3 linked regions of the Xenopus tropicalis genome follow. The protein of the gene in region 2 interacts with the protein of the main gene of each other region in a pairwise test. Links are inferred from orthologs where the notes say so. Each region holds a gene or a part of one and is shown on either strand. Other genes may lie near its edges. The genes, in order: hpcal4, spred1 and ncald.

Region 1 (4,347 bases), on a different chromosome or scaffold from region 2:
ATTGTCATAAACAGATTTGCATAGGAAGGTGCAAGCACACTTCCCATAGCCATCCCAGAGACTTGCAGAAATAATGCAAGTCTCTAAAATAGTTACATGTCAGTGTTAGTTCTAGTAGGTCCATAAATACAAAACCCATTGGGAACACATTGTCTGGACTTTTCTGATTAGCAATTTGTCAACTGCTAAATTGTAAGTGCATTATTTTTATTTATATATAGATGCTGGTACTATTTTACATGATGGAAGTGCACCCCTTGTTTTATGTTTATCTAAAGGAGGCCTATTAGGGCAAATAAGAATCCTATGCTAAATATGTATGGTTTACACCATAAATAGGTTTGCCACCTGGTCAGTATTTTACTTGCACTACCTGTAAAAATTATGTTTAATGCCAATGTTATTAACAGGGAAATAGAAAACATAAAAATATAGGAAGGTCAGTATTTTTCCATGTGGCAACCCTACCTGGGTGCCGGAGCCATGAAACAACACAAATAATGCAGAAAAACTGCACTCACAGGGCTCACTAAACATTTAAAACACTAATTAATATGAAGTCTACCAGACCATTCATAAATCCATAAGGCTAATGTGTTACTGAGAGACTATAGGTTTGTAGATGTGGCTGGTGGGGGTCAGCTTTGGGGACGTTTCCTGCAGATTCTTTCTCCATTTAATGTTTTTGCCAAACTTGCTCTGGTTACTTGAACTATACATTCTATATGTAGTACTCTGGAGTATTTTCTCTATGTATTTTATGGTAAGACATAATCATTGGCTTAATATTAGCTGGAACTAATATCATTCCCATCAATCTTTAACACAATTATAATGGAGATGGTTTTCCAGGTTAGGCTTGCACAGCCACATTTTCATGAACAACATACAATTCAGACCCATTTTACATTTGCCTGACGAAGATCCATGAACTATGAGCAAGTATACGCCACTGCCAATAATACAGAGAAACTCAAGTTGAATATATCTGGTTTATTATGGGTCTTTGTGTATTTTTTGGGTTTATTTCCATGTATTATTCATATGTAATGTACACTACATATTTAAAAATAGCTGCTTAAGAAATCTGCATAGGTTTGCATCATCGAGTATGCATTTATGTATATTTCTTGTCTTTTCTGTGACATCTACAGATCTGTGACAAAAATAACATGTCCTGTATATATCTGCATGAATTTGTGTTTTTCTCTTATTTCATTCCTTCAGAGCACAGCATCTTAGTGCCATGGCTACTGTTTCTATGGAAACCCTATGTGGAGCTTGTTTTACATCCCTAGACATTTTCTTACTAACTGGCCTCCTCTGCTACCACTAGCCAAATCTGTCCCCTGTGACACACAGTGGCATCCTGAGCCACACGGACATTTCACCTTGTTAACATACCTCCCCACCAATGGCACAAACCAGTGTATATGGGAGGGTGGGACTATGCAAATAAGGTGTGACAGGCAAACATCGTGATCTGGGTTTTGCTTACTGCCCCCCAAAAACATCTCACTGTGAGCAAGTGACACAGCTAGAAAAAACAGGAGCAAGACAGCAGGACCATCACAGAGAATCCAGAGGTATATCATTCAACGTTAAGGTACAGTATATATGCTTTTGCTTTGTATTAATAAGGTGGCCCTAAACAGAGTATTCTCTTTAGAGAGCAGACTTTACAGTGATATGCTTTGTATAGTAGCCCAACCTGCTAGTCTAGGAGATGATTTCCATGGCTGGAACAATTTTAGGACATCAAGACCAATTATCCCTCATGCAAGGCTGTATCTAGCTGGGCTTTTGTTTAAATTATTATTCTCTCTCTGTTTTGTGTCCAGCTCCTCTTACTAATGGCAGAGGAAGGGGCATTACAGTTCTGTAAATGTGTTTTCTGTGTCGACTTCAAAAGACCTTTCAGCAAGAACAGGTGATTGTAGAACGCAGTGTCATTTAGTGTGTGCCTCGAGCTTTTTGTGTAATTGCGCAGGTCTAATAATTCACATCTGTGTAGTATTGGTAAAATTGCAACTGGAACATAATCTGACTTTAACACTTCTCTTGCTAGTGGTTTCTTGCATAATGATTTCCAAATCCCAGATATTTATGCAAACAGTAAGATGCAGTCTTTTTATGTATGGATGTCAGAGCATACAAGAGTCGTGGCATTACATAGATGGAAATTGTTCATCAGCCAGATACAAATATGTATAGTGGGACACAAATATACAGTGTTAGAAAAATAATATATATATATTACTATATAACCTATGAATACTGTGAATCACTGACCCAATTTCCATTTCAGTTTAGTATACCCATCATCAAACCGTGCACATTTCAGATTCCTACTTTACATGCTTGAGATCCATGAAGCAAGATCCTGTGTTTGCCTTAAATATGTACTTTATTTTTAGGGTGGATATTACAATAAAGAGCATAATGAGAGAAAAGTAAGGGAAATATACAGACTCTCAGAGTGCACTCTGGGAGTCCTATGTGTACCAGGCAGCAGTTGCCATAGTAACCACCTCAGCACCAGCTCACACTTACACAGGATGGAAAATGGTGATATTCGTTCAGCAATGAGAGGAAGAGACAAAGAGAGAAACTGTTAGGACAAGCAGCCATGAACAATGAACCTCCACTAGCAGCCTGACACACATATACTGAAAGACACAACAATATCCCAGTGGTCTATAAACACAGATGTACAATAACATAAACATATACGTACAGGAATATTGCTATTAACATCCTCTCAGGCACAATAGTGGCATATTGATTTTTTTCCATTAACATACCATAAAATAGTGAAATATATATGTACACAAGTATATTATCATATTAACTTACAGGAATCCAGCTTATCATTGCTTACATCTTCAAGCAGAGTGTCAGGTGATGATAGCAAATCCGTAAAGGCAAAGGGCAAGCATTATGTTAAAGGGAAGAAAATATCTGTTAAAATGTTTAATCCAATCACACACATCATCATATGCCATTGTAACACTTGTGTGTTAAGCGCAGATTTTGTAATTGTACCATGCTACAGTAACCAATGTTTTTTTTTAAAGATATCTGATTAAAAGCTATTCTTTACATCATCATCTGTTTTGCCTTCAGCATAAGCTTGTACATGCAAAACCATTGATCTGTTGAAGTGGTTCAGGCATAAGAAAAAATAACAAAGCTATCAATACTATAGCTCAAGTACAATAACTTCTGAATTAAACAACAGGTAGGACTGACAGATATTAATCAGTTGGAAGAGTTATTTATTCATGACTGACACTACACACAAACCATATCAATCTGTATATCCACAATGGAAAAAGCAAAGTCAAAACTACTGACTGGCAGTTTCAGTAAATATTTCTTTCTGATCATGAGGACCACACAAAATGCCACAAGGCATCATGAAATTTTGAGTAAGTCACTAAGAGATGTAATAAAGTACATGGCAGATTGAAAAAGGCCATAGAAATGTCTTCATTTATGCTCTTATTTGGCAAGAATTACAGAAAATTAGTGTGACTCCAATCCAGTGCACCCAGTTTACCCATATAGGTGCAACACCTTTCAGGCCTACACTGTGTCTTTACCTCCTGCAGCCCAAGAACAAGATTACAAGGTCCAACAAGGACTCTATAGTGTATGCCAGGATGAGTTTTCTAAACTAGTTCAACCCTTAGTAGCTAATTTACTAAGCCAGTGCATAATAAAAGCACAAATCACCGTTTTTGATCTACAATGCACTGAAAGTGTTTTTTCTTATAGTATCTGTATAATAAGCCCATGGTAAATTTCAAACAAGTTCCAGTGCAGGAATATTGCAAATTATTAAGCAATAATTTCAGAAGCGAAGGGCAGGATACCCAATTTTTAACATTAATTCAGCACATATTAGGACTTACATAGTTAAGTTAAACTTTATGTATACTGAACATACCTATTGTTATAAAGGGAATATATGTATGTTATGGTTTTTTTTTATTTTTTTGAACAATACAGGCCAAACTCTAAAACTGAAAGCCCCATAGATAACTGCTTAATGTTATTGTGCCCCTTACCTTGCAGGCTTGTACCCATTTATGACAAGATTAGTAACCAGTGCAAATCTGTCCACCATTAGTTTATGATGCAGTATTTCTTCTGGGAAAGAAAGTTGCATCATGGGTAAAAAACTGTCCAATTAGACTTTTTTTTACACTACTTAAGTAAATGATCCATCATGTATGATGTTAGTTCAAAGGTCATACATGGGCCAAGCTGGCACCTCAGCCCCTTCTGACCAAGTCTGCAGTTTAATGGTCCTTAGGAGAGCCTGTCTAATAGAGTCAGAAT
Region 2 (4,434 bases):
CTGTTAGCAGAAAACTGCATTGGCTTTGGGTACTAGCAAGTGAGTGATACTTTTTTCCCCTTCTTCCTTTTTCAAAATCACAGGCCAACACATGGGCAACAGAGTAAAAAAGCTGGCTTTTTTGGTAATGTTTGGCTTTTCACTCTACTGCACATGCGTACCTGGTACGAAGAAAGAAGAAGAGGATAATTCACATGTACCCCAGGTCGGTGCAGTTTTCTAACAGGAGCGCTGGCTCGCATTATCAGGTAAGAGATTATAATTACTGGGGGGTGTCTAACATTTGGCAATCCCCAGTGATTGTACCTTTTCTTCTCCTTAAATAATTGTATATCATACACGGCCACTGTGCGTCAATCTAAAGGTGGTCATACATGGGCCAATAAAAGCTGCTGATGGTCTGAGACAGGCTACTGGACTAGTATCTGACCAGATGTCAATTGGGTAAGTTTAAAAATCCCATCGAATGAGGTACACATTAGTGCATTGATGTGGTCCTCGTCCCAACGGCCTGTATCCCATCAACATAATCATATTGTTTGACTGGAGGGTCAAATGATAGGATCAATGAGATATCAGGGAAATATCTGCTTCTGAGCATATCAGGCAGTGTCGGACTGGCCCACCAGGAAAACTCTTGGTGGGCCCAGGTGTAAGTGGGCCCTCCTGCTCATGACCATTTGGCCTGCTTCATGGTCATTCCCTATTTCTGAATGGGAACACAGAGGAGAAATAGATGGAAGAATAGATGCTAGCATGTAAATAAAAGAGACTAGGAGAATAAAGAGAGCAAAAGAGGAAAAATTGTTAGGAAAGTGGGCCCGGGGTCTAAGGTTTTCTGGTGGGCCCCTGGGGTCCCAGTATGACACTGATATCAGTGAAAGATTCGCTTCTTTTGGGACCTCACGGAGGAGGGGATAGTTCAACCTATGACCAGTTTATGGTATTTCCAAACCTACTATACTTGTGGGCTCTTTAGTACCATCCTGCTCTGCTGTCCACATTGTCACTCCAATTCAACAATAGAACACTTGGCAGTATGGCAGCAATCCAAGAGGCAATTAAGCAACTGTAGAGTCCAGGCTGCCTGGTTTCAATGTATCTGTGTATTTTCTCCATTGAGAAAAAAAAACATATAAGTTATAAATGTGTTTAACCAACTGAATAATCGCCCAGGGATCCTGTCAGGACAATTATATAACGAAAAGAAAATAAAACGCTTCTCCTCAAAGGCGGCTCGTTGGGACTTCTACATAAGGGGTTAAACAATGGGTCCAGAAATAGAAGTATATGCAAAGGCTCTTGCAAAGTTGTCTGTGTGTGAGCGTAAAGCTAAGGCGCAGCGAGGAAGGCGCTGGTGTGTGTGCGCCTGTATATGTACACATATATGTATGAACTGTAAAGGAGGAGCACCCTCCCTCTCCCTTCCACCCCCAGTAGAAGGAGGAGAGACTGGGAGGAGGAGAGCAGGGGAAACGCAGGGAGGGGGGTCCGTTCTGGATGCGCACTCGCACGGATGCTTGGCGCAGGATTGGCCTGCCTTTAAATCGCTTCTCCGCAGTTTATCGCTGTTTCGAATGCTCCGGCGGGGCGCACTTCCCATATAACCTTCCGATTGCCTCCCGGATCCCTGTGCCCTCACCATGCGTCTCCTTCGGGAGCCTCCCTGCGCCCTGGCCGACGGCAGCCAGCCCCGAATCGGAGCCCGGTGAAAGGGGACAATGAGCGGCGAACAGGAGCCAGAGTGAGTGCCACCTGTGTCCCGTACTGGTCTCTATTGCACCGGGATGGGTAGATTAGGCCTTTGGGATGCGCAGGGAGCGCTTTGCGCCGGGCTAGTCCCTGTGTGGATCCCATGCCCCAGCGCTGCACACTTGTGCGAGTGGGAATGCAGAGAGCGTGTGTGAGCGCATACAGGCAGAATGTGTGTTCTACTGTGCACTCCCCGACTCTAATCATGGGCACTGAGTGTGCAAGGGGATGGGGGACATAGTGGCCAAGTGCAATCAATGCTTTTCTCTATGTTGCCTCTCATGGGTTGTGGGCAAGGTATTTCTGGCTGGCTTGTCTACCTGTGTGTATGTGCCTGGAGCTGCAATTCTGCATGGGATAAGCTAGAGCTGTGTGAAAAAGTCTCCATGACTAAAGCACAGTATGTACTAATACTTGCATTATAATGTCAGTGCATCATACTGTATCTAAGCAATGCTTGGCAGGTGTGGCTTACACTATGGTATAATGGCCCATCTATCTATCTATCTATCTATGTATCTATCTATCTATCTATCTATCTATCTATCATCTATCTATCTATCTATCTATCTATCAAAAGTCTAGCATGTCTATCTGTATATTATGGGTGTATATAATATAACTATGCAAAGACACATCTCATAATTTATGCAGGCATTCTGTAATGTGAGTATATTTTTATTACATTACATTAACATTTATTTATAAAGCGCCAACATATTCCGCAGCGCTGTACAATAAGTGGGTTACATACATTGGACATACAGAGTAACATATAAAGCAATCAATAACCGATACAAGAGGTGAAGAGGGCCCTGCCCAAAAGAGCTTACAATCTACAAGGAGAAAGGGTTGAGACACAAGGTGTGGGAATGGGCATGACCAGAGTTGTGAGAGTATATATCAGATATTTTGCAGATGTCAAACCTGCGGCCCTCCAGCAGTTGCTTATATTCTCCTTTAAGTATCCTCTGAGAGCCGCAGGTTGGGCATAACTGCTTTGTGTGCTCACACAAACACGTATGTATGGGAGCGTGTGTTTGTATACATATATTCATATATATGTATATAAGTGTGTATATTAAATATATGTGTATGTTTATATATATAGCTATTGCATCATTGTATTGTTTATGTATATATCATGTTTGTGTTTGTATATGGTTTGCAGTTGATTTTGTGCAGGTGTACAACATTTACATATTTGTATATGATTTTCATGTGGAAATTGTTTATTTGAGAAGGTCTTCATCAGTGACCGTAGAGTGAATTTCCCTATTTTAGAAAAGATGGCTATTTTTTACTGTATCCATGTGCGTGCAATTTTTTCTTTTTTTGCATGATTTAACGAGGCGGCCTTATTATGCTTCAACAATGTACCACATTCATATATGTGTGCCTTGTGCTGTCAGTTATTATATACATTTGTATATGTGTCGTTGTATGGCTATTTTTTTGTCCATGAATGGTTATATATAATGCAGAAAGATGAGCACACCCTCAAAATAAATCAAATGCCTGGGTGCCAGTAATACATGGTTATTTTAGAAAGTACAGAAACACCAAAGTGAATGCATTGGTTCCAATGCGTTTGATTGCACGTTTAATTTCTGTTTTATTTCACTTTAAATATTGTGATTCATAGGATATATACGCCAAAAGTATTTTAGTACAATTGTGATTCTGACAGCACAACTTTTGTGTAACCCTGTTCAGTTCTGCTGATTTATCAGCCTGCTGATAAGGTGAATTGAACTATGCACCTTGGGCTTATTAGTGTTCACATTTGCTACAATAATTTCTACATTCGAGCTTCAACTCAGTATTATTCTATTAATATGTGATATTTCTACAAACTGTTCTGGGATATATTTGCATTATTTTATTGTACCAGGGCAGGTTGCATAGTTGCCATTTACTCTCATGTGGGAAATGCACCGTTCTGTTGCCATCCTGGAGAGTACAGTTGATTGAAAGGTGTTGGACAAATTAGCCTTTGCGTAGGGCCACTTAGGTAAAGCAGGGCTATTTGACCTTTTTCCTTTTTAGCTGTTGCTCAGCTCCCAGCATTATTAGAGTGTAAGCTTTTGTGAGCAGGCCGCTCTAATCCTACTGTTTCATTCTGTAGCCTCTACAAACCATACCCTTTTACAATTTGTAACCCTTGTTTGATATATTTTGTAAAGCAATGTGTAACTTGCCAGAGCTATATAAATAAATGATGAGGAGGACTGGTAAATGCTGGAAATTGTAGGTCAATAACAGCAGTAAGGCATGTTTCTTGGACAGGTGAGCTGCTTTTCTGCTGGCAGAGGCACTGCACCACCAAAGACATCTTTGTAGCATGTTCATTGTAAGCTAACGTTTATTATTATATGTAAATGTGCTTATCGTTATATGTCATATGTACGTACATTATTCTGCAATATGAGCAATTGCTGTGCAAATTGGTGTGTGCGATTATTAACACCAGAAATATTATAATTTATGTAAAAATTACTAGGCATATTTCATAGCTGGATATAATTGGGGCACAATGCAAATAATTGGATGCAAATGCAACCTGTATAAATGGTGAAAGGTCCCTGTTTACAAGAGCTTAGGCTTATGGCACACAGACATTTTGATTACCACTCTTCTCCCAGAAAAAAGGAAGCAGCAGTGAAACTACTGGCATTGCTA
Region 3 (4,154 bases), on a different chromosome or scaffold from region 2:
CGTTCCTATACCAAACTATTAAAGTACCAGGTCCTCTAACCAGTGAAAGAAGTCTCGTTGCTGCGTAAGGATTAAATATTTTGAAACGAGGATAAACCCAAATAAGAGCTGCCAAATGGATTACTTCTATATAATCCGCTAACGGCTGCAAAAGAGAACCCAGAGTGGCAGTGGCCTACAGAACAAGGCAAAGTAAAATAAAACAAGTTCTGCTTTAAAGGACAAGGTAAGGCTATGTGCCTGTGGTGCCCGGTATTTTGAATTAGGCTTTCCTTGTCTATTAAACATGAGCAAAGAATAGATGTGGAAGTTGAATTTTCATATCCCATTATGACTCCGCAGTAACTGATAACAAAAATCCATTAATATATCATATTTAAACAGGTACAGGTATGAGATAATTTATCCAGAAGGCTTGGGACCAGGGGTTTGCCAAAAGACAACTAAAGAATTCAACATTAGACATTGTAGGAATTGGAGTCTTGGCTGAAGGAGAACTAAATACTGTTACATTGTTTCACACGTGCATGTAGTCTGGACCAGCAGTGCAGGAAAACAGCAAGGGATAGCCAGATATTGCTTTTTATTAGCAACTGCGTGTGTAATTATAGTATATGGAAACTTTTGTAGGTTTATATTTACTATAGAATGTATCTTATTACACCAAGACAAACATACAAAAGGACTGGCAGAATGACTCAATAGGGCATTTCATTCCAAATATTAGCTTTTAGGTTCAAGGTCTCTCTGGATCAGCCTTTGTAACAGTATCTCCCTTCCAGCCAGTGTTTGCTAAGTATTAACCCCCCATGAGTAGATGGGATGATATCCTTCCAACAGAGATCTCCAATCAGGTGGAAAAAAAAAATAAAATCTAATGATAAAGGACTTTTATATATTTGAATTAACAAATATATAACGATATCTGAATAAATATTATTTGAAACAAGAGGCACACAGTTTGCAACCTTGAAAGCATGCAACATTTCCTAGAGGATGTATTCTAAATTTATACTTCCTATGTCCATATCTGGCATGTTTACACTATACATATATATACATTCCCCTAGGGCAATGGGAAACATAAAGGGTTTTTTTGTAAGTTATTTCCTATATGTTTTTAGTTTTGCATAGGGCAAAGAAGGGGGCAGAAGTTAAATAAATCAGGGGTGCTTATTAACTGTCTAGCGCAACTCTCCGCATCACATGACAACCAAAGGAATGCAGGGAGTTGTACATTAAGGACAGTTGGTGGGCATCCTTTTGGTTGTCAGGGCATTCTGAGAGATGCAGCAGAACCACAGTAAGAAGGGTATGTTGTATACACTGAAAATGGTCTTACACAATACACATCATTAGGACTTTTAACTATGTTTTTCACAATAAGGGTGAAGACACACAGAGCTATTAGTAGCAGCTACTTTTTCATGGATACGAAACTCCAGAAAATATCCTGCCATAGACAATACTGAGAATTTCCTCTGCTAAAACACATGTAGAGACTGTTATCAGTAAATATTCAGCAGTCTATTTTAGTAGCCATGACAAGTAGCTGCTACTAGTAGCTCCGTGTGTCTTCACCATAAAGCTGAGCATACGAGTTCAGATTTTAGTTGTCTTACAATGAATGTTCGACCTAAAACTAACATTCAGATTTAAATTGTAAGATTAAAGACCTAAAAATAATAAATCTGACGATGTTTTGGTGATTAAGAATTGCCAGACAACAATCATATGAAAGTTATGTCCTGGTAATACATCGTAAGTTCCCCAAGGAAATCATCAGATAGGCAATACATGCACAGATATTGTTTTCCAACAAAAAGCCTAACCTGTCTGATCGATTAAACAACCAATTGCCATTGTACGTAAATTGTCAGTACAATAATTCAGAGCCTACTAACAGTCAGAAAACTGAATGAAACTTTGTTTCGTACCATTAAATCGGTGTGTGTATGGCCAGCTTGGAGCGTACAGGTCAAATTCTCATTCTGCCTAGCTTCCCAGCACCAAACAGCCCTAGAGAGGCAAATCAGCCACATGAAAATGACTAAGTAGCTGCCAGCAAGAGTGCAAAGCATTTCATCAGATCTGTCTGCCCTCATTAGTGCCAACAGGGCTCTAGTGCAAATGGTGTGTGTGTCACAATGCGGAGTTATTGTATGAAGTAAGTTCAATGGGGGGGGGGGGGGGAGACCAAAAGCAATCAACATTATCACTGAAAACAAATGGTATCATCTTAACCCACTGTCTAATTCCGGAAAGCTGTGGGTCACACTACTTCCTATGTGAGCGAAAGCACCCAACCAGGAGAAAGTGACTTCTGTCAGTACAAAAACGATTTTGTAAGACAAAAAATCCCTGGCAGAATTCTGTTTCACAAGACACTCGTATATTGAATTACTACACAAATCACTAGGACCACAGAATTCTGTTCCTGATACACAAGTCACTTGTATCACGACTTGTGCAAAAGTCTATTGTCGCAGTGTCGCACAACGGTGTTGCTGTCAGTGCTTAGGGAGCTGCTATGTCACTTAAATCAATCGTTCCCAGCAACTTGTGGGCGCAGCACTGAGAAACTTTCAAATGCACAAGCCACGATAGTGATAGAAGCATGCGGCAAAGTCGTATAGCGATTGTACTCACTCAAACCGAAAGACTTCTCTCCACTTCCTCCTGCTGATCGCAGCACCGGCCCCAGTGTGGCAGCTCCTACACCGAGTACACACGTTGCGGCGGATCTTATCCCTGCTGCATGGGTGCAAAGTGCTGCCCCGCACACACAAAGTTGCTCGGGAAGAAAGCAGAAGAGACAGGGGAAGAGCCGTGACTTGCGACTGCGGCGGCAGCTCTCATACAGCGCAGCGACAAGGCGAGGAGCGGGGCAGTTTAGCAGACGGGCGATTTAATAGTCCATTCTCCGGCGGAGCGATAGCAGCAGCAACAGGAGGAGTAGGAAGCAGCGCTCTCACACTGTAGGTCCCACCATGCAACACATTCACAAGCCTCTGGGCTGTGTGTGGCTCCCAGCGCTGGCTCTGCCCCCACATGACGTCACGTTCTCTTGTCACATGGCCACATGAAAGGCGAGAGAGAGAGAGAGAGAGCGCTGGTTGTCCTGGCAACAACAGAAGTGTTCTGAAAAGATTTCAATAGGTCAGATTCCTTCTCCTGTACTGTGTGCGCATTGTAGTCATTAGATGCGGCCTGACAGCCCTGGGGGATTGCTGTGGCACACCTGGTGCCCTGCTGCTAGCCAAGGGGCTAACTGTACTGGGGCTGCTAGCCAAGGGGCTAACTGTACTGGGGCTGCTAGCTATATCCTGCATACTGTACTGGGGCTGCTAGCTATATCCTGCATACTGTACTGGGGCTGCTAGCTATATCCTGCATACTGTACTGGGGCTGCTAGCTATATCCTGCATACTGTACTGGGGCTGCTAGCTATATCCTGCATACTGTACTGGGGCTGCTAGCTATATCCTGCATACTGTACTGGGGCTGCTAGCTATATCCCTCATACTGTACTGAGGGGCTGCTAGCTATATCCCTCATACTGTACTGGGGCTGCTAGCTATATCCCTCATACTGTACTGGGGCTGCTAGCTATATCCTGCATACTGTACTGGGGCTGCTAGCTATATCCTGCATACTGTACTGGGGCTGCTAGCTATATCCTGCATAATGTACTGGGGCTGCTAGCTATATCCCTCATACTGTACTGGGGCTGCTAGCTATATCCTGCATAATGTGCTGGGGCTGCTAGGTATATCCCTCATACTGTACTGGGGCTGCTAGCAATATCCCTCATACTGTACTGGGGCTGCTAGCTATATCCTGCATACTGTACTGGGGCTGCTAGCTATATCCCTCATACTGTACTGGGGCTGCTAGCTATATCCTGCATACTGTACTGGGGCTGCTAGCTATATCCCTCATACTGTACTGGGGCTGCTAGCTATATCCCTCATACTGTACTGGGGCTGCTAGCTATATCCCTCATACTGTACTGGGGCTGCTAGCTATATCCTGCATACTGTACTGGGGCTGCTAGCTATATCCTGCATACTGTACTGGGGCTGCTAGCTATATCCCTCATACTGTACTGGGGCTGCTAGCTATATCCCTCATACTGTACTGGGGCTGCTAGC

Evidence for each region.
Region 1: the proteins of spred1 (region 2) and hpcal4 interact in binary tests that used the Homo sapiens proteins (3 or more experiments, as listed by UniProt). The link is inferred for Xenopus tropicalis from reciprocal best matches to the Homo sapiens genes SPRED1 and HPCAL4.
Region 3: the proteins of spred1 (region 2) and ncald interact in binary tests that used the Homo sapiens proteins (3 or more experiments, as listed by UniProt). The link is inferred for Xenopus tropicalis from reciprocal best matches to the Homo sapiens genes SPRED1 and NCALD.

The regions. Positions count from the first base shown.
Region 1 is NC_030678.2:90,976,435-90,980,781, forward strand, and holds the start of hpcal4 (hippocalcin-like protein 4), read left to right. Parts: upstream 1-1,541; 5' UTR 1,542-1,606; intron 1,607-4,347. UniProt on the Homo sapiens protein: May be involved in the calcium-dependent regulation of rhodopsin phosphorylation.
Region 2 is NC_030684.2:110,838,761-110,843,194, reverse strand, and holds the start of spred1 (sprouty-related, EVH1 domain-containing protein 1), read left to right. Parts: upstream 1-1,586; 5' UTR 1,587-1,721; coding exon 1,722-1,744; intron 1,745-4,434. UniProt on the Homo sapiens protein: Tyrosine kinase substrate that inhibits growth-factor-mediated activation of MAP kinase. Negatively regulates hematopoiesis of bone marrow.
Region 3 is NC_030682.2:131,164,420-131,168,573, forward strand, and holds the start of ncald (neurocalcin-delta), read right to left. Parts: upstream 2,919-4,154; 5' UTR 2,650-2,918; intron 1-2,649. UniProt on the Homo sapiens protein: May be involved in the calcium-dependent regulation of rhodopsin phosphorylation. Binds three calcium ions.